Tamandua tetradactyla: one gene and its partners. The protein of the gene in region 4 interacts with the protein of the main gene of each other region in a pairwise test. Links are inferred from orthologs where the notes say so. Each region holds a gene or a part of one and is shown on either strand. Other genes may lie near its edges.

Region 1 (7,802 bases), on a different chromosome or scaffold from region 4:
GACACTCAGCAGGAGAACCCAAAGCCGCGGCGAGAGTGCCACTGCAGCTCTGGGAACTTTGATTTACTGCCTTCGGGGAGCCAAACAAGGAGCCTTGGCAGCGCAGTCCCCGGAGCTCCCAGAGAAGCCGTGGCAGTGGGTGTGATGCGTCCCCACTGCACACGCTGGAGCCGGGAGGTGGCCTGCTTCTCCCACCCTCCCTGATGCTCTCCCGAAGGGAGCGGTCTCCCATGGAGCACGGACAGTCCTTCACCCAGCGCGCGGGTCTCGGTGTGCCCCCCTGGTCACTACCGCCACACTGCTCGGTCCTGGCCACATATCACCATCACTCAGACAGTCTCCTTCTCTGCACAGATGTCCTGGTCCCATCCCTGGAGATACCAGCTTAGTACACCAGAAGCGAGCCCCAGGCATCTACAAGGACCTCTACTCCGAGGACAGACCCCTCTCTTGGGTACTTAGGGGTTAGCTGAGGACACATCTTACACTGAGGCAAAACCTGGGGTGACATCTAAGGCTGCAAACCCAAGCCGGCGTGGGACAGGATGAAGGGGAGAGGGTATGCATCTGCTGATGAGATCACAAGGCCTACCTCTAAGGGGCTTAAATGAAAGGCTACACAGAAAAGTCACGACTAAAGTTCTGAGGACAAGGGCCATGTGTCCAGGTCTCCCTGGGACTGTCCCAGTGGACACCCAAAGTCCTCATGTCCCATCTAGTTAAAAGGCCCTTCACTCTCAAGTGTCCTCGGTTAGACAACAATTTATTGACATATAATTTATACAGTCTCCGTCATTATGGGCTGCCAATACTTACTGGGCAACAAACTTAACGTTGGGAAGCAGATATCCACCGCCCTGCAGGGAGAACTGGGCAAAGGATGACAAAGGCGGCAGCTTAAACTGCAGGTCGATAACCACCACTTACCTGGGCCCAGCACTCCTACCTACCCATGACAGACCCGGACTGGACACGCAGGTCCTCCACCAAGGCAGGGCCACGGCGCAGGAGCCCAGGGTGGGCTGGGGGCAGGGGAGGCGGTACAGCAGAATGCCCCAAACCCACCCCTTTCCGTAGCAAGGGCTGACACCTGTACGCCGGAACTTACAGCCGAGAGGGCACAGAACGTGTCTGACTCGGCAGAGTCCAGAAAGTCCAGGAGCTCGATTTCGAACAGGACAGTGGTGTTTGGGGGGATCAGGGGGGGACAGCCCAGCATCCCGTAGGCGTAGGTGGGCTTGAACAGAAACCTGGCCAGCTCTCCTCTCCGCATGCTCAGAAGGCCCAGCTCCATGCCCCAGAGCGTGATATCTGGACAAAGAGGCCAGGAACATGGTTAAAGGGTGTCCAATCCTGTCCTGATGCGATCAGCTTCTTTCCCCTTCGAGTCCTTTCTGCGTAATACTCCAAACCGTCTGTACGGTGGTCCCAACCCACCTTCCAGCCTTGTTTCTTCCCGCTTACCACCGCCACTCCCAAACTCTAGCTTTGCTAGGCTCTGCGGCTCTGTCCCTGCTGTTCTCTTTCTTCCCTCTCACCCTGTCCCCAGCTTCTACACTGGCTGACATCTCACACAAACTTCAGGGCTCATTTCAAATGCCCCCTCCTCCAGGAAGCCTTGCCAGATCCTCCCCGCTGGAATTAACTGTACCTTCATTAAACACTTCCATACAGTGCTTCCACCTCCCTGGCACTCACTGGGTTCTCCAAGGTTACCTGACTGAATACACGTCAATCTCCCCATACTGGGAAGGTTTAATCATCTGGGCACCTTCTCCCTTGTCACCCTGCCTTGTGTGTGGGGAACACTCAATACCTGTTCACTTAGCAAATGAACAAAGAAAAACGGCCAGTGGAGAAGGCAGGATGCAGGAAAGGAAACCTTGCCAGCTAGGCCATCTCTGGAATCCCTAGGGCTCCAGGGGGGATGTGGGAGAGAACCTGGCTGCCTTTAGCAAAACCCAGTCTCAGAAAAACCAACGCAGAAAACCTGTGCTTTGGTGACTTTTCCCTTCCTATGGCACGTTCCCTTATCTCTTCACCAGTTCCTAGTCTGAACTTACCCTCTCCAAGTTTCATCAGCCGAGGTGTTTTCCTAAAGCAATTGGAATCAAAAGGCTTGTCCGTATGCTCCAGGTATCCAGAGTATTTCACTAGGATGAAGAAAACAGACCCAGGGGGAGGAAAATGAGGCAGAGGGACTGATGTCTTATATCAGAGCTCTGCTATTCCACCAAAACGATGCAATCAAATGAGCTTAAACCACCCCATATGCCGAATTATAGGAACGAATCTCTTCTCAACATTTTGCACGTTCCCTGCTCACACTGGGTGGTGCAAAGGGGTGACAGATGGGTTTCCTTGCTCTTTGCTTAAAAATCCAAATTCAAAAAACTTTCTACCCTATAAAATACTACCTACTTAAAAAAAAAAAATACAATCTTCCCGCCCCTAGAGAAAAGTGCAATTGAACGGTTTGCTGCCACTCGGAAGGGACAGTGCTTTTATATCTCCACTGGCCTCCGCCAGCACCGCGAGGCCAAATCCCAGCCAGGCTGTGGCCGTACCTAACACGGAAGCATCAGGGGTCACCAGCTCCCCAGCGCCTTCTCGGATGACATCCTTCAACACGCCCCGGTCCCCGGAAACGTCCAGCATCCTTTGACTTAGCCTCTCATACGGAGACTTGAGAATAAAAAAAAAAAAACAAGACGGTAAACACTCGGAGGCCGCCCCTACGCCCACCACCCGTCACCTCCCCGCCGGCAGTCTCCGGGGTCGACCCCCACCCCAGGAGCGGGGTCCTCGGCTTCCCCCACCTGGCCGGGGGCGTCGTCTCCTCCTAGGACGCCCCGGTTCCGGGCGCTTCCCCCCATGCCTGCGCCGACTTCCCCGCCTCCGCGGCCCGCGCGCACTTCCACGAGATTCCGGGAAGCCGCGGGCTCGGTCGCCGCTTTATACAGGCCGGCCGCCCGCCACCCACCGCCCTCCGCGAGGGGACGCGCCTCGCTCCGCGCCAAAGGCGGCCAACTGCCACGAACGAACGAGGGGGCGCCGGAGCACGTGGTGGGCGCGGCTCGCCCTGGACGCGTGCGGGGCGGGGCGCGTGCGGGGCGGGGCGGGGCGGGGCGCAGCAGGCGAGTGCGGGGCGGGGCGCGGCAGGCGCGTGCGGGGCGGGGCGGGGCGCGGCAGGCGAGTGCGCGTGGGCGGGTGCGGAAGCACGTGGCGGGTGTGGCTTGCCCTGGATGCGTGCGGGGGCGGGACGCGGCAGGCGCGTGCGGGGCGGGCGGTCGCGGGAGCACGTGGCGGGTGTGGATCGCCCTGGATGCGTGCGGGGCGCGGGAAGCACATGGCGGGCACTGCCTCCAAGTAAGCTGAGGCCGCAAGGCCGAGGGTTACGTTTTCAGCCCCCTTCCTCGTTGGGTTCTGCAGAAACTCAGGCCCCATGTGGGCTTTAACACCAGACTTCCCGGATCTTAGCTCGGGGGGCGGGGGGAGCACATGGATATGACATCTCTCATCTTCCCGCAGCCACATCCACAAGATCCGCTGCACCTGCTTTCTCCTGTTGTGAAGGAAGACCGGCCCCTTGCTCCCTTCTGTGGGCTCGCTCCCTGGATCCTTCCCCTCTTGCCCACTCAAGGGCTTCCCTCGCTTGGCTGCCACTCCCCCCCACCCCATCAGTCTTGCCTTGACTGTGGCATCATTTCCTTCAGCTCATACCTGTCCGGAAAGCTCCCACCTTAAAACGAACAAGTCTCCCTTCAGCCCGCGTCACGCTCCTGCTGCGGATGGCCCGATTCCTACTTTTCTCAGAAAAACTTCTGGGAAGAGCTGCCGCAAATGCTTTTCGACTTCTTTGTGCCCATCTCTGTAACCCACGTCACTGCTACCTTCCCCCGCCCCATACGTGGAGACTGCTCTTGTTGCCAGATCCATCAGACACCTCTCTGTCCTTGGTTTATCCGACTCCAGAGGACGTTTGACAAATGACATTTGACCTCTCTGCCCTTCTAACACTTTTCTTCTCTCGATTTCGGGTATTTGTTTTCTATCACTATCCTACCAAATTACTGCAAAGTTGGTGGCTTAAAAAGACACCCATGTTAGGTCTGAAGCTTTGCTGGTTTCACTGGGCTAAAGTCAAGGCCTCGGCGGGGCTCCACTCCTTCCTGGGAGATCTGGGGAAGGATCCGCTTCCAAGCTGGTTGCGGCTCTGGGCTTGAGGTCCCTGTCTCCTTGGCCACCCTTAGCTCCTAGAGGCCTCTCTGCTGTCCTTGTATGCTGGCTCCGACATCTCCTAGCCAGCAGCAGCTTGTCAAATCGTTCTCATGCTTGGGCTCTCTCTGACTTTTCCTTCTGCAGCATCTCTCTAACTCTGGCCAGAGAAAGTTTTCTGCTTTTGAGGTCTCATGTGGTTAGATTGGGCCACCCAAGGAATTCAGGTCTGTGACATTATTCGCACCTGCAAAGCCCCTTTGTCATATCATGTCACCTCTACCCAGGTGCCAGGGGTCAGGGTGTGGATATCTTTGGCCCTTCTTCCTACCACAGCTTCCTGGTTACCACTCTCTTCTTGTTTCCCTCTGACCTCGCTGGCTGTTCCTTCTCAGGCATCCTCTTCTTGCCTTTGGCAACCAGAGCCCCCTCCTTGGCCCTCTGTCCTTCCTTGTCTGTCCTCACTCGCTGGGAGACTCCAGCCCTTCCCGTATGTCTCCACAGGTGACCCATGTCAGCCAGCCTCGGGCCGCTCTGAATTCAGCTCCAGGGCCCAGATGCCAGAGTCCAGTATCCTACCCCACTAGATCTCAGAATGCTGTCCCCAGACCGGGAGCACCAGTGTTACCTGGGAACTTACTAGAAATACAGATTGTTGGATCTATCCCTGTCCTCCCGAAACAGGAACTCAACAGACAGGACCCAACCAGCTGTGCTTTAACAGGCCCCTCTGTTCTTGCTGAAGGCTAAAGACTGCTGGCTAATCACTGCTTCACCTGGATGTCCCCTGGCATCCAACTCTGGATTTTCTCATCTCCCTTTTCCACTCTGATCTTCACTAATCTTTGGGAATTGGCACCGCCACCCATCCACCCAGGTGCCCAAGACACCCCAATCCGTGGACTCAACAGCAACCAGAGAGATCTCTGAAAAATATAAAACCCCCTTGCTTAAAGCCATGCAGTAGCTTCCATTGCCCTTGAATGAGATTTGAACGCTTCGCCCTGGCCGATAGGGCCTTCCCTGCCAACCCCTCAGAGTTCATCTCCTGATGTCCCCTCTCGTGTGCCATGCTCCAGCTACCCAGGTCTCCACTTTGGTATCTCGGCGATACCAAGTCTTTCCAAGCCCAGGACCTTTGCACCTGCCAGCCCCTCTCCACTGCCTGGGCTGCAAACTTCCATGTGACTGGCTTCTTTGTATCTTTCCCCTCCATCTAAAGTGGCATCTCATGCAACCCACCACCCCGTTCCCTTTTTCGGATCACTCTGTTGACTTTTTGAATAGCATTCAACGTGATTATATTCTCTTGTTTATTTAGGGATTCCATACCTAATACCACTACATCGTCACTGTCCTGGACACTCTAAAGGACTTGGTCTGTCGTGTTCTCTACTCACCACCAATACAGTGCTTGAACATAGCAGGGTCTCGGTAAGCATTTGTTCAAGTAATAAGTCAAATGTGCCTAAAACCTGCCTTTCCCAAACCTTGGCCTTGCTTGTCACTGGGGCTGAGACCTCCTCCTGTTGGCAGTTAGAGTGGACAGGGCTGTGACCCGCTGTCCTTAGAACTCCCTTTGAGTGTTTCTGTCTTTTCCATAGCAATTCCCACCGCACCCCCATGATATATATTAATATGTACATATATATTGTGACCATGATATTCAGTAGCTGCATAGTGCAATGCGACTGAACTTCTAAATCTTTGAAAGACTTCACATGAAAAGGTTCACAATTAAATACTGTCGAGTGAAAGAAGCCAGGTACAAAAAAATGCATACCATATGATTCTATTTACATCAAATTCGGAAAGAAGCCCCGACAATCTACAATGATGATGTCAGGAAAGCAGCTGCCCATATTAAGGGGTGCTACTTGGCAGGAGGTACAGGGAGCCTCCAGGGTGCCAGAAAAGTTCTACATCTTGACCTTGAGGGTAAGTATACAAATGTGAAGTGCATGTCAAACTGTGGACTTCAGATTTGTGCTCTTTGTAGATGTTCTACCTCAATTTTAAAAATCTAAGTAAATCAGATTTTTAAAATACCTTCAAAATGCCACCAAAAAAAAAAGAAAGTCATGATTCAGAAAGAATTCTGTTGAGGCATGTGTCCCCTCCCGTTTGGAGTTTGCAAGGTGTAGCTGCATGCGCGGTCCCTCTCGGCCCCCCACCCCCACCCCCGCCCCAGAACATAAGTGAGCAGTTATCAGCGCTGGCCCGGGCAGAAGCTGTCACCCAGTCCCGTGATTGCTCCAGGTTTCTCCACCTGATACCAGTGACCTTGAGGACACGGGGGTGCTGCTGGGAAAGGGAAAGCGGAGGAAGAAAGGGGCAGAGGCTCGGTGGGGTACACTGCGTTCCCCAGATCCCGCTGCTGCTGGCCCACCCTGGGAAGAAGGGAAGGCCTGGGGGGAAGGCTCAGAGGACCGTGAGAGCCAGGTAGGACCACGTCTGGGCTCCCCCTGCACCTACTGCCCTGTGTCGTTCTCCACCTGGGGCTGGGCAGAAGGTTAGGGTAGCGCCCTCCCAGGTCTAATGCTTTAGTATTCCCTGCCGGTGTCTATTAAAAATGCAAAGTTCTGGGCCTCAGAACCCTGAGGGTGGGACTCAGGAATCTCCAGTCATAATGATGCTCTCGGGAGGTCTCAAAAGTTTGAGAAGGTGGGAAGGACCAGTAGTAATTCCCTGCAGTGACCTTTGCTTGGTTTTGCTACCCAGTTCTGGCCAGGATGCCTGCCGGGGCTGGGGCTTGGGTTATCAATGTCTCTTCCAGATGATTCCTTTCTGGTTTACCTCCAAAGCTGAGTACAAAATTTGGAGTCATTTATTTCTAAGGGACCATTTTCTCATTTAAAATGGGGAAACAGGCACGAGATCTTAGGTGCTTAGGGATGGAACCCAGGACCAGCAGCCTTCCCTAGAGCATCCCAGCCACCCCTGGGGGTTGGGAGCTTTGGGACGCACTCTGGGCAGAGGGAGGGGAGAGAGCAGGCCCCCCTCCCCCCGTGCTGTGTTTCAGCCTGGGCAGTGCGCATGGCTGGGCAGGTGAGCGTCCCCGAGCTGGAGGACCCGCTCCAGTGCCCCATCTGCCTGGAGGTCTTCAAGGAGCCCCTGATGCTCCAGTGCGGCCACTCCTACTGCAAGGGCTGCCTGGTCGCCCTGTCCCGCCACCTGGACGCCGAGCTACGCTGCCCTGAGTGCCGGCGGGCGGTGGACAGCAGCAGCTCCCCACCCAACGTCTCCCTGGCGCGGGTAATCGAAGCCCTGCGGCTCCCCGGGGACCCGGAGCCCAAGGTGTGCGCGCACCACCGAAACCCGCTCAGCCTCTTCTGCGAGAAGGACCAGGAGCTCATCTGCGGCCTCTGCGGCCTGCTGGGCTCCCACCAGCACCACCGGGTCACCCCCGTCCCCACCGTCTACAGCCGCATGAAGGTGGGAAGCTGCTGGGGAGGTAGGGTGGGGTGGGGGTGCTTGGCCGGAAGGAGGGGCTCGGCACAGAGGAAGGGTCCTGGGGCCAGGACTCAGTTTCCCTCCATCCCTGTGATGGAGCAGAGAGCTCTTGAGAGCATTCATTCATTCAT
Region 2 (7,364 bases), on a different chromosome or scaffold from region 4:
CCCTCAACATGGACCTGACAGAGTTCCACACCAACCTGGTCCCCTACCCTGCATCCAATTTCCCCTGGCCACCTACGCTCCAGTCATTTCTGCCCAGAAGTCCTGCCACGAGCAGCTGTCCGTGGCCGAGATCACCAACGCCTGCTTCGAGCCAGCCAATCAGATGGTCAAGTGCGACACTCGCCACGGGAAGTATATGACCTGCTGCATGCTGTATCAGGGGGACGTCGTCCTGAAGGAGGACCCACAGCCATCGCCACCATCAAGTTTGTGGATTGGTGCCCAACCGGGTTCAAGGTAGGAGCTGGAAGGAGCCTTGCTTTTTTTGGGAGGGTACAGCACACCTGCATAATCATGCTGCCCCCCAAGGCCTTGGGGAGAAGTCTGCCCCATTCTCTCAGGTTCCTGGTCATAGAGGAGTGAGCCAAAAGTGATCACTTATCCAAGTTTGTATTCTGAGTTCCCTTCCTGAATTATCACAGCATATATATGTCTATGGTGAGCATTTAATTGCAGAAAATAGGAAGTATTCTGAAAAGAATTTTTTTTGCAATGTACTTTCAAATTTATTGATTTTGTGCTTGTGTATTATTTTTCTCATTAAAGAAAAAATGAGGAGGGTATAATAGAGAAGATAAGATTTTAAAAAGTAATATAACTGCTGAATCAACACACTGACGTTTCTTTTGGTCTCCAGTGTCTTGGAGCAGCCTCTCCAAGTGTATGGGTTGGGTCTATACCCTGGCCCAAGGTTTCTTGACTTCAGACCTTAGTTTCCATTGTTCTGCCTCTGAAGTTATTTTTCCTTAACTTTGTTGTTTTTCTCTCCCTTTTAGTCCAGAGTGGCAGTCGTTCCATTTATACAGATCCCACAGCACTCTTGTTGATTTCCTGTGCAATATACTGGGATCATGCTCATTACACAAAAGGACTTTGCACAGATCCTTCCTGGATAACTCCATACCTAATCCTGGCTTCTTCTGGAATGGCTAACTGGTTCCATACTTCATTAGATTTTCACGTGGGACACGATTCTCTGAGGCCTCTCTTTCTGGAGGCCCACACTTTTCCAAAACACCAATTTCTGTGTTCTTTGTACCCAAGATTTCAGTTCTCAACTTATCTCTTTTTCTCTCACATTTTACTATAAGCTGCAAGGAGAAGCCAGACTGCATTTTCCACATTTAGTTTGGGAATTTCTTCTGTTAAACATCCAAGTTTATCACTCTCAATTTCTGCCTTCCATCTACAAAGAATGCCTTTCTTCCGGTTTATAATGATACATTCATCATTTCTGTGTAAAGTCACATCAGAGTTATCTTTAGAGTCCACATTTCTACCAACAGTCTCTTCAGAGTATTCTAGGCCTTCTCTATCAAGTGAATCACAGTTCACCCCGAATCTTCCCCTTATCCATTTAAAATCTGTTCCAACCTTTTTTACTATTTGCAAACCATAGCAGCACCCCATTTCTCTGGTTCCAACATCTGTTCTAGTTTGCAAGCTGTCAGGATGTGATATACCGAAAGTGGTATGGGTTTCAGAAAGAGAAATTTATTAGTTTGAAAGTTTATAGTTCTCAGGCCATAGAAATGTCCAAATTAAGGCAAGTCTATAAACAATGTTCAAATTAAGGCATCCAGGGAAAGATAGCTTGGTTCAAGACTAATCAAATTCAGGGTTTCTTTCTCAGCTGGAAAGGCACATGGCAACGTTTGCTAACTTACTCCCCAAGATTCTTTAATGGCTTCCTTGGGACTCTGTTCTGGTGGCTCTAAAGCTTTTTCCAAAATGGTTCCCTTTTAAAGGGCTCCAGTAAGCAACCCCACCTTGAGTGGGTGGAGATATGTCTCCATGGAAACCATCTAATTAAAAGTTGCCACCCACAATTGGGTGAGTCATATCTCTATGGAAACGATAAAAAAGATTCTACCCAGCAATATTGAATGAAGATTAAAGGGCATGGCTTTCCTGGGGTACATAATAACTTCAAACCAGCACAACCATTCTTGCAGATGCTGACATTCAAGGCTCCTGAGCCCAGGCAGTTTCCTTTAGGTATACAGAAGCTGGTATTGTCTGGGGTATTGACTAAGATTTCTGCAGGCAGCTTGTACCAAAAGGCAGATAGTCCCCACATGCTCTCACAGTTGCTGAAAGTTATAAACACTGACCGTCTCAGGGTGTCAGAGACCAAAAGTCTTGCTTCCTCTGTTGGATGGTAGTGTTCTGGCAAGCTGACAGGCCTCAGAGTGCCTTGGTTTTTTCATTACATGGCAGTGTCCTCTCTTTTCTCTTCTGGGTTCCTGCTGACTTCTGGCCTCTCTCTGAAGGGATTTTTACATTCTTTTTTGGGGTAAAATTGGTATAGGAAATGTAGGTTGAACATAACCATGTGGGAATTTTCAGGATGTTTTTGTGAGTTGTGTGGATAGTGGATATATTTGAAATTGGGATGTTCCACAAACTGCTCTCACCAAATCTTACTTTCGTTCCATTGTTAAAAAACATCCTGTATAATTTTAGATTACATAAAAACTATCACAATCGTCTCGTGAAGAAAACGGAACATCTCTTATTTCTCCTTGGTTAGCTCCTCATCGTGGCCTGTGTCTGTTTCAGACACAGCATTTTTCTGAACTTTCATGTGACACATGATGCATCCTTCCTGTGGCTTCCAGCTCTGGGAGCCTTTGATTCCTAAACCCAGTCCATTCTCCTTTTCTTGGCCCTCTGATTCCTTGTGCCAGGCTATTTACACCACTTGGTCAGGTTCAGACCCTTCGTTTGTGCTGTGGTCATGACAAGTTCCTAACTTGTATCTCCTTCCTCTAGTTCTGAGGTCAGCTGGTGGAGGGACCAGCCGCCCGATTTTTTTTTTTAAGTTGAACCAATTATTCAAATTTTAAAATATTTTTTGAGATATTTTATATACAGTCACACCTGCCTGATTTTGTAAATAAAGTTTTCTCTGAATGCAGCCACACCTCATCCACAGATTGCCTGTGGGCACTTTTGAGCTACAGCAGCAGAGTCATGGGGAACGGTGACCCTGTGGTTAGCAAGGCCTAAAACTTTACTGCCAGGTAGTTGCTTACTATCAGGCAGTTGTTTACCCCTGCTCTAGTCGAGCCCATGTGCTCCTGTCAGTTATGTCTCTGAGGACCCTCAGGCCCTGCTATCCCCAGGTGCCAAAACTCCCCTTTGGCCCAACCTTAGAATGTCATGCAGTGCAGGCTCCTGCTTCAGCACATGCCAGAACCCCTCCAGTGGCTGTGGTGACAGTACATGACCCTTGGTTGTCTGTTACTCTTGCATAAGCCCATGACTGTGGGGACAAGGGGGTGGGGGTGGGATGAGCTTCCCTTATCCCAGTTGTGTTCTCTGAATCTGTCTCAGTTGAAACAATTCCAGCTACAAAATTCATCATCATCTTGTAGAAGCATGGGGGGAAATAATCTCCAAGAAACACAAAGCAGTATCCATTCCAGAGGGCAGACAGTCCCTTCCCTTGAACTGTTATGACACATCAGTTACGTGGTACCCAGAGTCTTCAGGCAGCTTGGAAGCAAGCCAGGGTGACTGAATCCGGCTTCTCTTTCCTGGCTATTTCCTTATCTTTGGAAACCATTTCCCGGCTCTGGCAGCCTGCCTGGCCCAAAGAAGGGAACAGTGAAGGTGTGTGGGCGAACCGAGCTTCTCCCTGGTGGCCACATGGCACTTTCAGCCTGTCTTCTGTGTGAGTAAAAGCAGCTGCCACTTCCAAGAGCCGATTTGAGTTCCGTGTCGTCTCCCCTTCTCCCACAGGTGGACATTAACTACCAGCCCCCCACCATAGTCGGGGGTGGAGTGGAGAGGGCACCTGGCCAAGGTGCAGCAGGCCGTGTGCATACTGAGGAACACCATGGCCATTGCTGAGGCCTGGGCCTGCCTCAACCACATGTTTGACCTCATGTATGCCAAGCGTGCCTTCGTGCACTGGTACATGGGGGAAGGCATGGAGGAGGGGGAGTTCTCGGAGGCCCGGGAGGATCGGGCTGCCCTGGAGAAGGATTATGAGGATGTGGGCGTGGATTCCGTGGAGGCCGAGGCTTAAGAAGGGGAGGAGCACGAAGAGTGAGCCGAAGAGTCTTTTGTATCCCCCTCATCCTACCGTAACATTACATAATATAGTTAACTATTAAAGTTTCTGTATTGAACCATCATCTCTTCCTTGTGCTTCATTTTGATAAAATTCCCAATGCAGATAACCTGCCTTTTCCAGATGGATTTCTGGGAAAAACATCCACGTGTTTCTCTCGTATTACTTAGCACGTCTGCAAAGGTTTAATTGGTGACTGCATTAATCCCAGAAGGAAGCCTTCGAAAAAGTGCTTTATTTTAAATCATCAAAATATTTAAAAATATTTAGTTCTAACCTGCTGCCTTTGGGAGAAGAGAATAGACATGTGACTCTCCTCCCGAAAGGGGCGGTCTCCGTAGCCCCGGCCATGTGTCTCCCGGATGCACACTCCCGGCCTGAAGGCCGAGGGCTCTCAAGGCCGACGGCGCCTTCCAGCTGCCGGTCACCGGCTCGGCAGCCTTAGGCGCGAGTTGCCGGCAACCCCGTGTTGCCGAGAGATCCCCCTCCCCGCCGGCCCTCGTCTCCTGCCCGCAAGGCCCCGCCCCGCCGTCGAGCCCGCGCGCCCTCCCGCATCTCCGCGGGGCCAACTTCCGCTGCCCCACACATCGCGAGACTTGGGCGGCGCAGCAATGGCGAGACCGTGAGTGTGTCCAGCGGGAGCCAGGAGGCCGGGCTGGAACTGTGCCGGGCCAGGATCGAGCCGGAGGAGCCCCAACGATCCGGGGCGTCCTGGGGCACAGCGGCGGCAGGGGCGCGGCCCCGCAGGCCCGGACAGCCGCCCACACCCCCGCCTCCCCGCCAGATGCCGCGTCACTGCTCCGCCGCCGGCTGCTGCACACGCGATACGCGGGAGACGCGCAACCGCGGCATCTCCTTCCACAGGTCAGAGCGCCTGCGTGGTGACGCGCCCGGGCCTTGCGCATGCGCCGCGGTTGCCCGCCTCCCTGGGCCACATTTGCGCCTGCGCTGTGCGCCTGCCTCAGGTGGGGGCGAGGCTCGGAACTTGGGTTCGGGGGTGGTGTCCGGTCAGTGTTCGGAGCGCGTCCTGGGGGACCTCGATGGACAGGAGGTCCTCCGCCCTGGGACCCACCGTCTCCTCTCCCCTGTAAGCAGTTTTCCATCCTGAGGGCTCACTTTCCTCACCTGGGCGGGCTGGGCGAGGCGGGGGCCGGGTGGCCTTTGCTCACGCGCTTTGGGCTCCGCAGACTTCCCAAGAAGGACAACCCGAGGCGAGGCTTGTGGCTGGCCAACTGTCAGCGGCTGGACCCCAGCGGACAGGGCTTGTGGGATCCCGCCTCCGAGTACATCTACTTCTGCTCCAAGCACTTCGAGGAGAACTGCTTTGAGCTGGTGGGAATCAGGTGGGCTCGGTCGCCAACCAGCAGCGGGGCGGGGTGAGGAGTCCTGAGCTACCACGTGGAGACAGGAAAATCCACACCCAAGACCCCCGTGCCAGTGAGACGGGAGGGAAGCATCAGCCTTTCCAGGGCATCGCATGGCCCCAAATAAAAGACTTCTTTGTCTGGCAGCCCATCTCTGCCAGGAAGATCCCTCCATGCTTCTAACGAGGCCTGCAGGGAGGAGATTGCTATAACTGCCTAACTTAACCCTTCCCGACGCTTTTTGCAGTCTGCTTTCCAACCTCCCCAGCCTAGTGCCTTGGGACCCCTCCTGGGGTGCTGGTGGATGTGCCAGCTCAGTGCCCAGGGCCCATCTCTTCGTCTCACCCAGGCTGCTTTTCCCCACAGTGGGTACCACAGGCTGAAGGAGGGGGCAGTCCCCACGATATTTGAGTCTTTCTCCAAGTTGCATCGGACAGCCAAGACCAAGGGGCACGCCTACCCGCCTGGGCCGCCCAACATCAGCCGCCTCCGGCGATGCAGGAAGCGGTATGTGCTGCGGGCTTGATGGACTGGGTCTGCCAGCTGCTTTTGGGTAGCTAGTGTCCTGAAACCTCTGGAGTTGGGGTACATGGGTGCAGGTAGGCTGACAAAGTGGGCCATAACAAGCCCTTAACCCAACCTGTTAGTGTCACTCTCTTTTTGTGCAGTGCCTCTGAGGGCCGGGGGCCCATGACTTTGTTCTCTCCCCCGCCACCTGCGGACGTCCCCTGCTTTCCTGTGGAAGAGGCTTCAGCACCCACCGCCCTGCCTGCCTCTCCGGCTGGGAGGCTGGAGCCTGGCCTCAGCAGCCCCTTCTCAGACCTCCTGGGGCCCCTGGGTGCCCAGGCTGACGAAGCGGGCTGCAGCACCCAGCCCTCGCCTGAGCGGGAGCCAGAAAAGCAGCCGTGCCCTTTGGCCCCACGGCCCATCTCACCCTCGGCCTACATGCTGCGCCTGCCACCGCCGGCTGGCGCCTACATCCAGAACGAACACAGCTACCAGGTGGGCAGCGCCTTGCTCTGGAAGCGGCGGGCCGAGGCTGCTCTTGACGCCCTGGACAAGGCCCAGCGCCAGCTGCAGGCGTGCAAGCGACGGGAGCAGCGACTGCGGCTGCGCCTGACCAAGCTGCAGCAGGAGCGGGCACGGGAGAAGCGGGCCCAGGCGGATGCCCGCCAGACTCTGAAGGAGCATGTGCAGGACTTTGCCATGCAGCTGAGCAGCAGCATGGCCTGAGGGGCCACCGGGCATGGCCAGGGTCCGGGCCCAGCAAGAGGCTTCCTGCAGCAGGACCTGCACAGAGCTGCAGCCACTGTGCCCTATCAGGCCCCATAATAAAGCGGATACCATAGAATAAGGCCCTGCTGCCTGGCTCTCAAGGTGCCTGGTACCCTCCTCTAGGTTCCAGGTTTCTCCTACCCCATCCCCATCCCCGGACAACAGCTGCTGGGCTGGGGACAGGCAGCCTTTGCCCCACCTAGGCTCCTGGGTGCTGGGACCAGAAACTCCTGCCCTCCAACTTCTCGTGGCTCAGCCCTCGGTGTGCACAAGGAGGCAGGCAGCAGCCCACCTGCCGTGGGCCATGGTGCCAGGACTGAGCACCAGTGTTTGCCCTCCTGCACAGCTCTGTGCCCACGGGGGTTCTTAGTAGGTACGGGGTATTGTGGTAGAAGCTGGGGGCAGTGCCAAGTACCCTTCCCTGGGAACCTGAAGCAATCTCGACTTAAGCACATTGGCCCCTTTGAAGTCTTTGTAAAACCCTGTCCTGATGTGGCTGCTTGATAAGGGCACAGGGGCAGCCCCTGACTCAGCAGGGGGCCTGTGTACCTGGCACAGCCTGCGAATCCTGGTCCCCAGACCCA
Region 3 (7,149 bases), on a different chromosome or scaffold from region 4:
CTAAGTTTCAACTTGGGGAGGGTGGGCCATGAGGGCTCCTGAGGTCCAGCACGCTGCCACCTTCCCTTCCCCAACCCCAAGCACCAGCAGACTGGCTCATGGCCTTTTCTTCCACTTTATTTCATATTCCCACCACAGTAATGACTCCTTTAATTTAAACTAAAAACCATGAAGGGTTCCTGAAAGGGTGGCAGCGAAGGAATAGGGCCATCAAAGACTGAGGGACAGGTAGGGGGTAATCAGCGAATCGTCTTGACTGGACTCTTGAAGTTGCTGGCGGCTTGGAGCTGCAGCTGGTAGGCCATCGGATGGATCTTGAAACCATAGAGCCTGGGTCGGGGTGACAGGTCAGAGAGGCAGCAGGGTGAGTCCCAACCTGGCCCTGCCAGGGGTCTGCATTCCTGTCCCCACTCCCTACCCCCTACCCCCAGATCCTCCTGGGCCTGCTCAATGCTTAAGGGCAGCAGTTCCCAAACTCCTGCACTGGAAAATATCTGGACATGGATCTTAAAATTGAAACTCTAGGATATATAGTTGTACTTGCTTCAATATAAAACTGAGCCTTTCCTCCCCACAACCAGACCGGTGCTTTAAGATGAGCCAGGTTTACCCTGTGGCTCCCAGGATTCTCTGGTAAAAGGTTGAACTCTCAAGGCAGTGGTGAAAATAGCTTAACATTACAATAGTGCCTTGGAACTTTGTTCTAAACAATCTACATATTTAACTATACCCTGTTAAATAAATTCTGTCATCAATCCTGTTTTACAGGTAAGGAAATTAAATAAGGAATTTGAATAATGCATTCAAGGTCACTCAGCAGAGAGAAGCCCTGGCTTTGGGACAACCAGGGACTTTCATGCCCTTCCTTTGACTCTTGGTGACTGTCCGAGCTCCCCACCTGGGCACAAACTGGTTGGCTGGCCGCTTAGGTCGGTACTCGGGGTGCACCATGAACAGCATGTGAGGGAAACCAGTGCCGAAGTAGGCGCCGTCTGTGTGGTGGTGCCTTGATGACTTGGGTGTGTACACATCCATGCACTTGGGGCAGTAGAGCTTCACCATGGCCTCGCCTGGGATGTCTGATAGGCCTGGGAGACAGCCAGACTCAGCAGGCTGGGCACTCACCCACCAACCCTGACCAACTCCCCCCCCACAGGACTCAGGCCCAGACTTGCTGAGTCCCAACTCCTTCCCAGGGAACCTGCCATATGTCACCCTCCCCAACACTCACCAATGGGAAGCATTGGCTGGTTCTCACAGTACACACGGGGACAATAGCCAAAGTCTCCCTGCTGGTATTTTTCCAACTAAGGTGAATAAAATGGAAGAGATTGGTGGGTAGGTAAGAAAAAGCAACCTATGTGGTTCTGACTCCCTTCTCAACCCAACCCACATCACTCTGTCCGTCAATCCTCCCGCCTCTGTCAGAAGTTCCCTCTCTGGCTCAAACTCCTCGGCTTTCCTTCAGCTAGGCTGAGGACCATCAAAGCCATTTGCCATTTGTTTCCTGAGGAAGAGGCAGCCTATAAGAACTTCTATTCAGACGCATGTCTCCCTCCCTGACTCAAGTCTGGACTCAATTCTCAGACCCAAATTTTGGGATTCTTTCCCTCTTCTCAGCTAGACTCCCTGGCAAGGTTAAAATGTGTGACTTCTCACTGTGGGAACCTTCGTTTCTCTTATTTCTCAGAAGAAGTCAAGTGGGAGCAGAGAGACCTCACCATCTGGGCAATGCCACGGTTGGTGAGGATGTAGCGGGCGTGGATTAATCCATACAGCATCTCCGCCGCCTGCTCAATCAGGTCACTCTGGTTGGGGTTGTCTTCCAGCTCTTCATCTGAAATATGTTCCAGCCCAAATGCAACACTAGTCATTCAGCTTTCCTAGATGCTCCACCCACTCCCAGGGGTACCCGCCACCCACTATTTAGGCATCTGACCCAGAAACCTGGGTCTCTGCTTCTCCTTTACACCTCTCCAGCCTCTGTTTTCTTCTCCCCCTCCCAATTCCTTCCTCAATGCATAAATGCAAAGACGTTAATGCAGAATGAGGAACTTTAGTCTGGAAAGTGCAGGGCAGGAGAAAGAGGCAGAAAACAAGACATGTGCGAAAGATGGCATTATGGAACAGAGTTGAGTTACAAGACAAGAAAGCATGGGAACATGTGGCAAGAACTTGGCAAGAATCAGATGGTGATCAAAACAAAACGAGGAGTTTTGGCTTTAGAAAGCCACAGAAGCAAAAAAAAATTAGGAATTAAAGAAACAAGTGAACAGAGATTTGTAGAAAAAGGGGAACAAAACAAAGACAAATAAAAAAAAACAAACACTGAGAGTGCCTCACCAGGCTCCAGGTCCAAAATCATGTCTAGAGCTTGCCGATAGTGGGGTACTTGCTCATTGAGCCCTGTGAGGTTGAACTTGTCCTGGATGTAATCTTCATCCACCTGTTAAGATGTGGAAGTCAAGAGGGAATTCATAGCGGAATCCACAACTTTGGCCAAGGCAAGTTGCTCTAAATGATGCCTGGTCCTCAGTGTAGCTACTTCTATTACCCTTGTTCCCATTCCCAGGGACTCAATAGAAGTACCTGACTTTCTCTTTCCCATTCACACATACTCCTTTCCATAAAAGTTTTGGCTTCTCTGTTCTAAGGATAAAGTGGTACACCAACCTCCACCTTGGAAACATTCTGTTCATGTTCTGTATCCTTTTTCCTGAACGTCACCCCACCCACCCACTCCCATCTCTAGGAACCACGTTTATCCTCTCCTTAGGGACAGCTGTCTCTCAGGAAGGTGGAAGCTGAACAGCTTAGATTCCCAAGGCAGTTACAATCCTTATGTTACTACAAAGTTTTGCACTTCATAGAACTTTTTAACACACAGTACTTCAATTTTCCTCAGTCAACCTGAAAAGAGACTGCCACTACCACCCCACTATTATGAAAGAGACACAGGTTGGCTTATTCAAAGTTACACTGCTGGAGAATAATGGGATTAGTATTTCACCACAGGTTACTGGGCCAAACTGAGAGGATCATTCTTTGACAGAAAGGAGTTTTCATGGTAGCATGTGAAAAAATTGAGTGAGAACGTCTGGGGCCAGAATATGTGTAGGAAATAGGGACGTTTAAGAGAACTCACTTCACAGAAGAATTCATTGCCACGGAGCCCACAGAACCAGGAGATCCAGGATACCTCCTCTGAGCTGCTCATCTTCACGTCTGCAGGGAAAAAAATATGTGAAGCTGGTGACCCACAGCTCTTGCTCCCTGCCTACTCCCTTAATATCCTCCCTCCTCCTACACTTTGCCCTCCAACCACAGAGAAATTTGGGGCCACCTTATCTTAAAGGATCTCTGACTCTACAGCACACCTTTCCTGCCCCTCTTATTTACATGCCTTGGCCTCCTTCCCCCCCAATCAGACATTCTGTGATGTTCCACCTCCTACCATCATTTGCGAGAAGCCTATATATCTTTTCTCACTAGTTCTCTCCACATCCCTGGCGATCCCGAATGCTAGGTCCCTTTTCCCCCGTGTCAATTCCGGTAGGGTCCGCGCCTCGGACGCCGAAATACCGCAAAGCTCTGCATCGCCCGGTTCCCCAGGGTTCCGAAGTTAATCCTTCCCGGGCAATCGCCAGGTTTCTTCTTTAGATCCCTTCCATAAAGTTCGCACATCCCGCCTCCACCCCTCAGGACACCCCTCCCTCCCTTCCTCCCTGGGTACCAGACCGGGTCACTTCCTTCCCCGCCCCCACATCAAGACGCGGAGACCCCATGTGCCGCGCCCAGCGAGTAGACGTTCCGCACAGCGACGACCTCAGACTCACCTGCTAGACGGTGGCCAGGACCGGGGGAGGGGGGGTAGGGGAGTTGGTGCTTTCAAGGGGCGGCGACGACCGCTACAGCGAAGGCCACGGACCGGACCGCGGCAGAAGCGGGGTAGGGGGGAGTGGAAATTGGAGAGGGTGGGGAAGAGGACGACGCGCAAGCGCTAAGGGTCGGGTGCCAGGGAGGACGCCGGGAGATGAAGTCTCCGGTACGGAGAAACTAGCGAAATGAGGGAAAAGCGAACTACGAATCCCAGGATGACCCGCATCCGACCCTGGGGTCGCGGAATCCGCGAGGAAGGCTGGGGGCGGGGCGCAGCGAGTCACCACCGGAAGCGGAAGCCTAACTCCACGTTCGGGGCCAGAGACTAAGGGAAATATAATCACGTGTTCAGGGTACGGAGGGGCCGACGTGGGGCGGGGAAATAGCGAGCTAGTCTCTGGTTCCTCCCCGCCGCTCCTCTAGCCGAGCGAACACTGGCTACCGGCATAGCGCTGCCGTACACGGAACTGATTCCATTCCGGACCGTTCTGCTGGGCCCTTATCAGCTATCGGGCTCCTTGCCAGAGTCAGGCCAATCCCTGGCAGGGCCCATGTTTCACTTTGGGCCCCGTTCACCCGAAGTGGGAGGTGCGGTCGGCATTCGTGCTGAGAAACTTGGGTGGGATGTGCTGCGCTGGGCTGAGCGGTCTAAGAACCAGAATGGTCCACTGCGCTAACCTGAGGTGGCACCAGCCATCCTGCCGCTCGTCGCCTTGCACTGCTCCATCTCTTAGAAGAGCTACAGTGGGAGGGGTTTTTTGCTATGGGCTCTAAGTGTGATCTTCAAACCCTGATCAGAGTAAGGGTGAGGGGCACCGTGACGTTATTTTATGTCACAGCTTATCGACATTCCACAGGTTTTCCTCTGCCTCTGTAAGACCTTTCTTAACCCAGGGACTGGCTTCCTAGTTCCAGAAAATGGGCTGGAAATGTGGACAATGTTGAGGGTTGCGAAGGGCATTGTGGGGCGTTATGTAAAAGTCGGGCCTCAACCGACTGATCCTCCTCGGTCCTCGCGACAATTGGGCACATGGTGCTTTGCGCGCAAACTATTGGCACGATTCCAGGGCGGGAAACTGAACCCGACGCTTTGCGCACGCCGGCGTCGGGAGTAGTGGCTGTGTATGCATTTTTTTCAATCACGCATGCGCCTTCGTGTTCTGTAGCTATTTGATTGTATTGGCTTGTTTTATTAGAGTAGCGCCATTTTGCCGTACGGAAGCTCTAAGAGACAGACGCCTCTGCTTGACATCCTCTTCCGGAGAAGTGTCATGTCTGTTTTTTTGTTTTTTGTTTTTTTCCGGAAAGACGGAACCCCGAATTAGGATTGAGGAAGATTTAAAGAGCCAGGCTGATGTTTTTCTTAATGGTATGTCTTACGGGGTGGAAAAGTTGATCCAAAGAGAGGCTGGTATTATTGCTGGGGAGGTCTGGACTCGGGATCTCTGGGCAACTCTCTCAGGGTGTTTTCTTTGTTAACCTTTAGCAAGAGACAGACCTGTTACTGTAGGATCTCATATTTTTATACGTGACCTTGCAGGCCCCTAAGTTCGGGGGTCTCTTTTGGGACAGCTATGGTCTTTGATTCTAAGGTTACTTTTCCTCACCCCAGCAGCTCCCTGGAAGTGGATTTGGACACTGCAGAGCCACTAGGCGCTTGGCTTGCTTGTCTGAGCTTCCCCTTGCCAGAGTCTCATTCTCTCAGTTCTCCCCCAAGTCATGTCCAGGCCTTCTCTTATCACCTTCACCCCAGCCAGTGACCCCAGCGACCTCTGGAAAGATGGGCAGCAGCAGCCACAGCCTGAGGAACCAGAGCCTGTCCTGGATGGGCCTGCAGCCCGGGCTTTCTATGAGGCCCTGTTTGGGGATGAGAGCAGCCCCTCAGAACCTCAGAGATCTCAGCCTAAGCCTATCAGGGTGAGAAAGAGGAAGAAAAGAAGAGTGGTGGGGACACCTGTGGCAGAAGCAGCAGCAACAGCAGCATCAGGGGGACACAGACAAGAGAGATCCCTTGAAGCCGAGGACAAGATGACTCAGTGGATACTGAGGGCAGCCCAGGAGGGGGACCTGGCAGAACTTCAAAGGCTACTGGAGCCATGTGAGGCAGGGGGTGCTGGAGGGAATATCAACACCCGGGACACCTTCTGGTGGACTCCCCTGATGTGTGCTGCCCGAGCCGGCCAGGAGGCAGCTGTGCGCTATCTCCTGGGTCGCGGGGCTGCCTGGGTGGGAGTCTGTGAGCTAGGTGGCCGGGATGCTGCCCAGCTGGCTGAAGAGGCAGGCTTCCCTGAGGTGGCCCGGATGATCAGAGAGAGCCACGGAGAGACAAGGAGCCCAGAGAACCGGTGAGGGGAAACCTTACCCCATAAACATATATCAGTGTGCTCTGCCCTTTCTAGTCACTCTGTACCAGAGGTTCCAGAACAGAGCTGGGAAGCTTTCCTCCTCAGTGTAGGTGATAAGATAGTATACTGGAGGAGTTCTGAACTCGAGCTCCCAGAATTTGAATCCTGACTTTACTTACATGGGCAAGGAACCTAACATCTTTGTGTCCCGGTTGCCTCAGCTGAGAAATGGGGGTAATAACAGTACTTTCTCACAGGGTTGTTATTAGGATTAAATGGGTTAATACATGAAAATGTTAAATGGTGCTTGCCATATAAGTATTATATAAATATTAGCTTTACTCATTATTCTCATTATCATTATTATTTTTCCCTTCCCCAGGAGCTTTTTGAGACCTGGTTACCACCTCTTCCCCCAACCATTCCCATCTGGGTTCCCACTGGGTTCTTCAAGTGGGGAGGAAGGCAATTTGTTCCTTAGCCAGAGGGCTGGAGGGAACCTGTCCCACCCTGCCAGCCCCTTCTGAGGCCTCTGTGTTCTTCCCCCACCCCACAGCCCCCATCCTCAACTCAACTCCTCTTCTTCCTCTGCAGGCCTCATGCTCCCTCTCCCCAGTACTGTGAGACCTGTGACGCCCACTTCCAAGACTCCAACCACCAAACGTCTACTGCTCACTTGCTGTCGCTGTCCTGGATTCCCCAGCCCCACAACCTGCCACCTGGAGTCTCTGCCTCCAATCCAGGCTTCAAGCTGCTGCTGAGGGGAGGCTGGGAACCTGGGATGGGACTGGGACCCCGGGGTGAGGGCCGAGCCGAACCCATCCCAACTGTCCTCAAAAGGGACCAGGAGGGACTAGGCTACAGATCAGCACCCCAGGCCCGAATCACACACTTCCCAGCTCGGGATACCAGGGCTGTGGCAGGG
Region 4 (7,552 bases):
ATGGCCATTAGGACTGCCTAACTGAAGCTTCTGTAAGAGCAGCCTCCAGAACAGCCTCTTGATTCCATCTGATCTCTCCTCTTGTCCAGTAACTTTTTTTGCTTTTTTGGGAGCAGGATTGCAGCTCAAGACTATGTCATTGGGGCCTTTCGGAAGTTTGCTACAGACAATAATTGCCACGTGACACTGGTCATACACCCCCGGAAGGAGGATGATGACAAGGAACTGCAGACAGCATCCATTTTTGGCTCGGCCAAAGTGAGTGATCTTTGGAGAGAACCAAACTTTGGTGAACAGAGTGGTCAAGTATGACCAGGGATAGCCCACAGTCAGCCTTAAATAACCTCGTTGACTATCCATTTAACAGATGGGACCGACATTAGGAATATATATGTACTCAAATACAAAAGCTGATAATAATAGTGTGTCGTTCTTCTACTCCAGCTCACATCCTCTAGTGAGGAAAAGAATAAGGTGATGATTACAACTCAATACCAATAAGTGCTGTGATAGTCAGCACACATATTTGGAGAACAAAAAGACATCTGAGTCTGCCTGGGACATCTGGGGAGACTTCTCAGAGGAGGTGTCACTGAAGTTTTGGTTGAATTTTGATGGACAGTAAATGTTAGATAATTAAAGAAATGGGCATTCTGGGCAGCAGGACCAGGGTGATTGTGGAACTTTCTGTGGATACTGAGTGCCTGTTATATGCCAGGCCTGGGTGGGGCACAGGGAATACAGGGCGAGGAGCACAAATTACATGCCACAATGGAACAAACAAGTTGCTGGGGAGAAGAAAAATGCAGCAGTCGAAAAATGGTGGCACTTTCTTCATTTAGGGTAGTAGTAGAAGAATGGTCTCAGATGAAGCATGGGACATTTAAAACAAGACCTGAATGACGAGGAGATGCCGGGGTTGGGTGGGGTGGCTGGCTATGGAGAAGAAGGGTTATAAGCAGAGGAAAACATCAGGTACAAAGTCTTTAGCCCACAGTGAACTCCTTGTCAAAGAACTGAAAAGATTAGAGTAGTCCTAGCATGTAGGTCAATAGTTCAGAAAGCTGTGGTAATTTCTGCCTCTCTCATATGTCTTTTCACCCCTTCCTTCTTTCTTCTGCTCCCTGCACCCCCCTCCCCGCCAACCTCCAGGCAAGCCAGGAAGCAGACAATGTTCTAATCCTGCAGGACAGGAAGCTGGTAACTGGACCAGGGAAGCGGTATCTGCAGGTGTCCAAGAACCGCTTTGATGGAGATGTAGGTGTCTTTCCACTTGAGTTTAACAAGAGCTCCCTCACCTTCTCCATCCCACCAAAGAGCAAGGTCCGGCTCAAGAAGATCAAGGATGACAATGGGCTAGTGGCCAAAAAGCCTTCGTCTGGCAAAAAGGGGGCTGTGCCCCAGAACTCTGAGGCTGGCCCGGGTCAGGCCTCCAACCCCTATCAGCCAGACACCCCCCAGCCTTCTAGGTGAAGGGTGTACAAAGCTGGACACTAAAGTGAGCCTGATGGGACAAGTTGGAACATAGACTCTTTCTTGGCCCTCTGTGAGGGCTGCCTCTGTGCTGTGGTCCTGAAGCTATGGGCTCCTCTCAGTCTCAAGGGCCTAGGCTAGGGCAGGATTCCATAGGAAGAGCGTTCAATTCTGCAGACTTTGCTTTAGGTCGTGGGAATACATCACTGAGCAAGACAGATGTGGTCCTATTCTGTAGAACCTGCATTCTGGTGCAGGAGCTAAGATAAACAATGAATAAAAGAACAGAGAACATAATTTTAGATAATGGAAATGCTATAAAGAAAATTTAAAAAACAGCTATGTGATAAAGAATGTTCACAGGCTAGTTTCAGTTAAGTGATCTGAAAAGACCTCTGAGCAGAGGACACTTGAGTTGGGGTCTGAAGAACGGGAAGGAGCAAGTCATGTGAATACCTAGAGGAAGCAGGCTCCAGATAGAAGGAAGAAGAAATACAAAGGCCCTGGGTTGGGAATGAGCAAATTGAGTTCAAGAAAGTGGTGTCAGGCCCCTCATCTTGGAGGGGATTAAGAGGCTCCTTGATGCAGCTCCCGCCTAGGCTTTCAGAGCTGAAGCATGATATGGTAGGTACTAGGCCCCCCCCGTTCCCCACTTTGTGGGGCTGTCATGAGCTGGCATTAGCTAGAATTGGCATCCTAGGTCCTTGGCCCTGGACTATCAGGACCCAACAGGTAGGAGCTACCTCCCCTGGATTGCTTGGCAGCAGCCATGAACCCAAAGAGCCTGCCACCTGGGCACTAATTCCAGGTAAGCTGCTTTAGACAAACAGTAGTGCTGGAGTGGATGCAGTTATGACTTTTTATAAAGCCTTTTCCAATTTTACTGAAAAAGAATGTTTTTCACTGCCTTTGTTTCTGTGCTTTTTTTTTTTTCTGTCCACCAGGTGTCCCCAGTGTATAACTGGACTCACACTTTGAATTGGGAGTGGAGGGGAGGGGATCTCCTTCCCCACTCCTGGCCTTTGAGTTGTGGGCTCCCAAGGGAGAAGGGGCATTGAAAGACCCTCACCCCTACCCATATAGCTCTTCTGGGCCTAGGGAAGACAAGTGTGTCCTTATCCCTAACTCCTTGAGGAACTCCATGTTGTTCGTAGCAGAGGAGTGGGTCTCTGGGCTACTCAGACCCTGTCTGGTCAGCTGTTCTCTGTGATGTGAGGCACTCGCTGACCACCTTCAGTGTTCACTTAGACCCAGCATATTCTTATCTTGCCGTCATTTCCCTATTCCTTGTACCCTCTTGGTGTTTTTCTTATGTTAGTGTGCATCAGTACTCCTGGGGATCTTGTTAAAAATTCAGAACCCAGGCCCACACGCCCCACACCCTCACTTCCTGCTACACATACATTTCTAATTCCAGAGGTTTGGGGAGGGGTTTAAGAACCCTCATTTTTAACAAGCCCTGCAGGAAATTGCAAACAGGTGAACTGAGATCCTGTCAGAAATATTCCTAAATGATGACATTTTCCTGTCTCACTTTCTGTATCCAGTTTCTCTTTAGAGTTGCCCATTTGTTTTTGAAAGCGTGGGGGAGAATGCAAGATGTTCAGAGGGGGCTGGGGAGAAGCCTTTTATTTAGGTGGGAGAAAGGTTTCCTGCTCTCTGGAGGCAGGGCTGCCATGTAAAGTTCTCCCTGTCAGCTTAAGAGCGTGCTCCTGGGACTCCATGGAAGGCCTGAGGTCTCTGGTCTATAGTGTGTGACAGCTGTGGCCAGATACCTCTCCTGAAACAGACTCCAGAGCAAAGCTGCTGCAAAGCTGTTCTCTGTGGGGCAAAACTTGGGAGGTAGCTCCTCCAGGGCCTCCCTTCTTGGGGGTCTCTCTCCCAGACTGGCTGGAGCCAGGCCTCCCTAATCCTGCAGTAATCATTCCCAGCCGCTGGCTGGCCCAGGCCTCATCCAAACTCAAACACTGGATGTCAGCTATGCCTGCCAGATGCTCAGAACTCCAGGTCAGTCCTACCTACAAAGACAGAGGTTTCACATCCTGGTCCCCCTTGAACACATGGTGTGTTTTCAGGAAATCCTTCAGGAGTTTCCAGTGGGCTAGTGGGAATTCGGGCTAGAGGGGCTCTCTGCATCCTGTGTAAGGTCCCTGGGAGTCACTGTCTACACACCCATTCAAAGTACATTAAGGCATATTACCTGGGATAGGGCTGGACTCTGTCTACCTCCAAGTGAATGCTAAGAATCTCCCCGATTGCTCAAGAATGGCCTGGTCAAGCAGGGTCCAGGTGGATCTGCAGCTTTGTCCTCAGATTACAGTGTCTGTATGTGTCACACTTGGCTGGGAGGAGGGGTCTCCACGGTGAGGGAACAGTTTTGGTCCTCCAGCAGCTTACTCTCAAATGTAGATGAGTTTGAGAATGGACTACACTCACCAGTCTCCTGCAGCCCAACTACTCAGGTTGTAAATATAGCCCAGATTCCTGCAGACATTATAGTCTATGCCTTCCCATCCGCTGCTTTGGGTGTATGGAGAGAGGGAGCACTTAGTGCCTCCCTAAGATAAAGGCCAACTTCCTGTTTGTGCCTGTGGGTGGGACTTTATGAGTCTAAGGGAAGCTTGGCCATGCCCTGTGGAGGCTAGAACTGGCAGACCTCACCTGGGCAGGCACCTACTTCGGGGAAGGGGGTGGTGCTCTGTTCTGCTTGGGCAGCCCCAAGGGGGGAGGGGGGCTGTTTTTGGTGAAACCCGAGCTTTCTTTGTCTGCTTCTCAGGGATTTTCCTGTGTTTGGGGAGTGGGCTGAGAGTAGACCCTGTTGGGCTCTCTAAGGAGAGGGGTGGGGTGGCAGACTCAAGTCCCATAATCAGCGTTGTTAGGACAGCCAGGTCGTTTAGCTCTCCATCACGTGCTGTTCGCCCCTTCCCCAGGTCAAAGCCAAGTCCAGGTTGCCGGTGAAGTCAGAGACCTAAAGGGCAAACTCGAGGCACTGCCCAACTACAGGGTCGGCTGTAGAAGGGGTGCTGGGCAGACCACTCCCCTCCCTGAGTCAGGGGCGCGGCCTCCACCGCTCCGCCCCGCTCCACCCGGCCCGGCCAGGAGGGCGAAGGGAGCCGGGAGCCGGGAGTCCAGAACAGGCTTGGGAGCCGGCGGGTCGGCCGCGAGGAGGTGCCCGCGCTGGAGCTGGCGCGGGGCCGGAGCTGGAGCTGCGGCGCAGCTGGCGTTTGGTGAGTGGTGGGGGAATACCCGCCTCCCACACCCCGCTCCGGAGCGAACTTTCCCCGTCTGGGAAGCTGGAGATAGGGGCGGAGTGGGGTCCTCCTCCTGTGGGACGCAGGAGAGGGAGTCTGAATAGGAGGCGACGCAGATACTCACACTGGCGGGCCCACACACGTGTGCACACCGATCCCCGCACGTACTTGGGACACACGAACACACGTGCACTCAAGAACGGATGCAGCCAGTGGGTTACCCTTGCAGTTGCAGGGGCACGCCACCGGCCCGCGCGGACCCCCGGCGGGCAGGGCACTCTGCTGTCGCGTACTTGGCGGGGGTAGGGGGAAGAGGCCGCCCCGTGACCGCCGACGGGGGCGGGTCGGGTGGGACGCATCCGGAGGTTCCTGCTTCCCGGCCGCCTGCAGGTGAAGACTAAGACGTAAACAGGCGCCGAGCACGTGATCGCGGCGCAGCCTAGTGGCTGTGCTTCCCCCACCCCCGCCGAAGGCCCGGGACCGCCTCTTTCAGTTCGGGGCGAGTCTGCAAGGTCCCACTCGGGGCTGTATTCCATTCTACGCCTCGAACCTGGAGCAATGATAAGCCTTTCCCTAGAAAAGGGACACATCGCCCCCTGGAGGCAGGGTGGCTCGGAGGACCGGGAACGTAGGGCTGGGATGGGGTTACCTGGGCTCCTCGCCCTCCCTCCCCAGGACACGTTCGTGGTGTCTCATCCCTGAAGGTATCGGAGGGGGCCTTCGCCTTGATGGCCGTCCCTTCCCTCCAGCCCAGGGAGCAGCTGTCTGAGCATCTGTGGATCACCTTCCTACCAACCCACCGCCCTCTTGCAGGACTGGGAGCTCCTCCCCGCGATGTAGAACAGAATGCCCGCCCCTGTAAGATTGGAAGTCCCCACCCCCGCCCAGTGAACGCAGGAGTGTAAACACCCCTCAATACCACCGTTTTAGTAGAAGGGAGGATGAGCGCCAGCCTCCAGCCCGGGGAATGAGGGAGTGGGCAGCGGCTTTATACCCCCTCCCCCCTCCACGCGCACACGCTGAGCCCAACTGCTGCCTGAGTTTCTGCGCCGGCTGCCGGGAAGGGGCGGAGGCTCTAAATGTCCCGGGAGGCTGGGATCAGGGCAAGGCCAGAAGAGGTGGTCTCCAGTGGGGAGAGAGCCTCCGTCTGGTTCTTGCGTGGCTGAGGGTCTGGGGTGAGCCTGAGGGTGGCTGGGCTGTGTTTCCCTTTCCAGGGAAAAAGAAAGAAAAACAACCCTTTCCATAAAGCTAAAAATAGAATTGAGAGCCCGGCCAGGGCTGTGGCCTGCGGCGCGATGGGGGGGGGGGGGGGTGCTCCTTCCTGGGGCGGAGCGAGCCCTAGCTAGGCCTTGGCGCTGGGGGGCGGGGAGGGGACTGTCCTTGCCCAGGGTGCGGACATCAGCTGACCTGACCAGGTCGTAGAGACCCCTATGGGAAAGTCCGTGTGGAAGGATATGTTTGTGAAACATGATGTGTATGTGTGAGAAGCTGTGAGAGCAACTGTGAGTGCCTGTCAATGTGTGGAAGATGCTTGGGACACCAAATGTATTTGTGACTGGGCGTGAAGACTGTGCCAAACAAGATGTGTGACACTGTGTCTGTGTGTGAGTTGGCCTGAAAGATTACTGGGAGAAGGAACATGAGACGGAATGATGGATGAGACAGTGTGTGGGTGTTAAAAAGATTGTGTTTATTTGCGAGAGGCTGAGAGTATTTGTGACCCTGGGAAAGACTGGAATGTGGTCTCCTGTGAGGATGGTGTAGGTTTGGACTGTAGGTTTGGAACGGGTCGCCCCAGTAACTGTGTGTGTGTGGGGGGGGGGGGGCAAGGGCCGCCTCTTTTCAAGCTTCTTGGCTCCGAAAGAAGGCTGGAAAGCACGGAGTCTCGCCGGGCGCAGATCTGGGCTGGGGCGGGAGAGGGCAGTTCTGGAGAGAGAGATGGGGGCCCGCACGGCGGGTGGAGGGGGCTGGGTGTGTTCTCCCAACCAGCCGCCAGGTGGCGTCGCTTCCCCCAATCCAAGTGTACCGCCCTCAACCCGCTGGGGGTGGGGCAGGCACGGACCGAGCCTCGCCCCCAGACTGGTGCCGGGGCATAGGGCCTCGACAGCAGGAAGGGGGTTTGCAGCGGACCCTCGACCTCCCCGTCTGGACTCTGAAGCAGGAGAGTGTGTCTTGGGGAGAGGCTTCGACTAGAGAAGCGAATGGGGGCGGGGTGGCCGCCGTCACGCCTGGCCCTTTGTGCTGGAACAATGACCAGCTGCCGCCGGTCCTGGGGCCCTAGCGTGGGGAGAGAGTGACCCGCCGCTGCCGAGTCCTGAGCCCACCGAACCCCCAGGACCATAGACACCAAGCCTCAGAGGGAGGGATCCTGATTCCCGCTGTGCTGCTCCTGCGTGTGCCCCGTTGGACACGCGTGACGTGGGGGTGCTTGCGCGTGTCGGCGTCTGGGGGCGGGGCCGCCCGTCGGACCCCTCCCCCGCGCTGCCCCGCCCACTCGGCCCGGGCGCCGGCTGGCCCCGCGGGTGGGGGGGCGCCGCGGAGGAGGGGCCGGGGCCGGGTCGGGCCCGGCCGCCCGACTGGCCGTGCGCGGGCTGGAGCCGCGCTGCGCGCTGGTGGAGCGCTGGGGGCGGCCCGGGGCTGAGCATGGAGCAGCGCGGCGGAGGTGAGGGGGGGCCGGGGCTGGGAGGTGAGAGGAGGCGCCCCGAACTTCTCCGCGGTGGAGGTCCAGTGGGGAGCCAGCATTCCACAGCTGCCCCTACTTTATGGAAGCCAGGGGAGGGGACGGGGAAGGGACGGGGAAGGGAGGGCTTTGGGGACTGTTGAGGGTG

What was found.
Region 1: the proteins of LZTS2 (region 4) and FKBP6 interact in binary tests that used the Homo sapiens proteins (3 or more experiments, as listed by UniProt). The two-hybrid records come from large-scale screens. The link is inferred for Tamandua tetradactyla from reciprocal best matches to the Homo sapiens genes LZTS2 and FKBP6.
Region 2: the proteins of LZTS2 (region 4) and THAP7 interact in binary tests that used the Homo sapiens proteins (3 or more experiments, as listed by UniProt). The two-hybrid records come from large-scale screens. The link is inferred for Tamandua tetradactyla from reciprocal best matches to the Homo sapiens genes LZTS2 and THAP7.
Region 3: the proteins of LZTS2 (region 4) and GPANK1 interact in binary tests that used the Homo sapiens proteins (3 or more experiments, as listed by UniProt). The two-hybrid records come from large-scale screens. The link is inferred for Tamandua tetradactyla from reciprocal best matches to the Homo sapiens genes LZTS2 and GPANK1.

What each region holds. Positions count from the first base shown.
Region 1 is NC_135349.1:11,071,463-11,079,264, reverse strand, and holds the start of FKBP6 (inactive peptidyl-prolyl cis-trans isomerase FKBP6), read right to left. Parts: upstream 3,013-7,802; 5' UTR 2,877-3,012; coding exon 2,820-2,876; intron 2,686-2,819; coding exon 2,568-2,685; intron 2,154-2,567; coding exon 2,064-2,153; intron 1,312-2,063; coding exon 1,109-1,311; intron 1-1,108. Other genes in the region: E3 ubiquitin-protein ligase TRIM50, read left to right, coding at 7,255-7,653. UniProt on the Homo sapiens protein: Has an essential role in spermatogenesis. It is required to repress transposable elements and prevent their mobilization, which is essential for the germline integrity.
Region 2 is NC_135331.1:26,825,488-26,832,851, reverse strand, and holds THAP7 (THAP domain-containing protein 7), read left to right. Parts: upstream 1-4,711; 5' UTR 4,712-4,925; coding exon 4,926-5,005; intron 5,006-5,328; coding exon 5,329-5,484; intron 5,485-5,871; coding exon 5,872-6,012; intron 6,013-6,173; coding exon 6,174-6,738; 3' UTR 6,739-6,860; downstream 6,861-7,364. UniProt on the Homo sapiens protein: Chromatin-associated, histone tail-binding protein that represses transcription via recruitment of HDAC3 and nuclear hormone receptor corepressors.
Region 3 is NC_135331.1:87,251,480-87,258,628, reverse strand, and holds the start of GPANK1 (G patch domain and ankyrin repeat-containing protein 1), read left to right. Parts: upstream 1-4,136; 5' UTR 4,137-4,232; intron 4,233-5,075; 5' UTR 5,076-5,248; intron 5,249-5,491; exon of another isoform or gene 5,492-5,494; 5' UTR 5,495-5,598; coding exon 5,599-6,224; intron 6,225-6,818; coding exon 6,819-7,149. Other genes in the region: CSNK2B (casein kinase II subunit beta), read right to left, coding at 240-330, 899-1,088, 1,232-1,307, 1,722-1,837, 2,344-2,446, 3,146-3,217.
Region 4 is NC_135339.1:62,550,115-62,557,666, forward strand, and holds the start of LZTS2 (leucine zipper putative tumor suppressor 2), read left to right. Parts: upstream 1-4,543; 5' UTR 4,544-4,700; exon of another isoform or gene 4,701-5,108; intron 5,109-5,373; exon of another isoform or gene 5,374-5,995; intron 5,996-6,096; exon of another isoform or gene 6,097-6,139; intron 6,140-6,735; exon of another isoform or gene 6,736-6,889; intron 6,890-7,276; exon of another isoform or gene 7,277-7,386; intron 7,387-7,550; exon of another isoform or gene 7,551-7,552. Other genes in the region: TWNK (twinkle mtDNA helicase), read left to right, coding at 117-258, 1,153-1,473. UniProt on the Homo sapiens protein: Negative regulator of katanin-mediated microtubule severing and release from the centrosome. Required for central spindle formation and the completion of cytokinesis.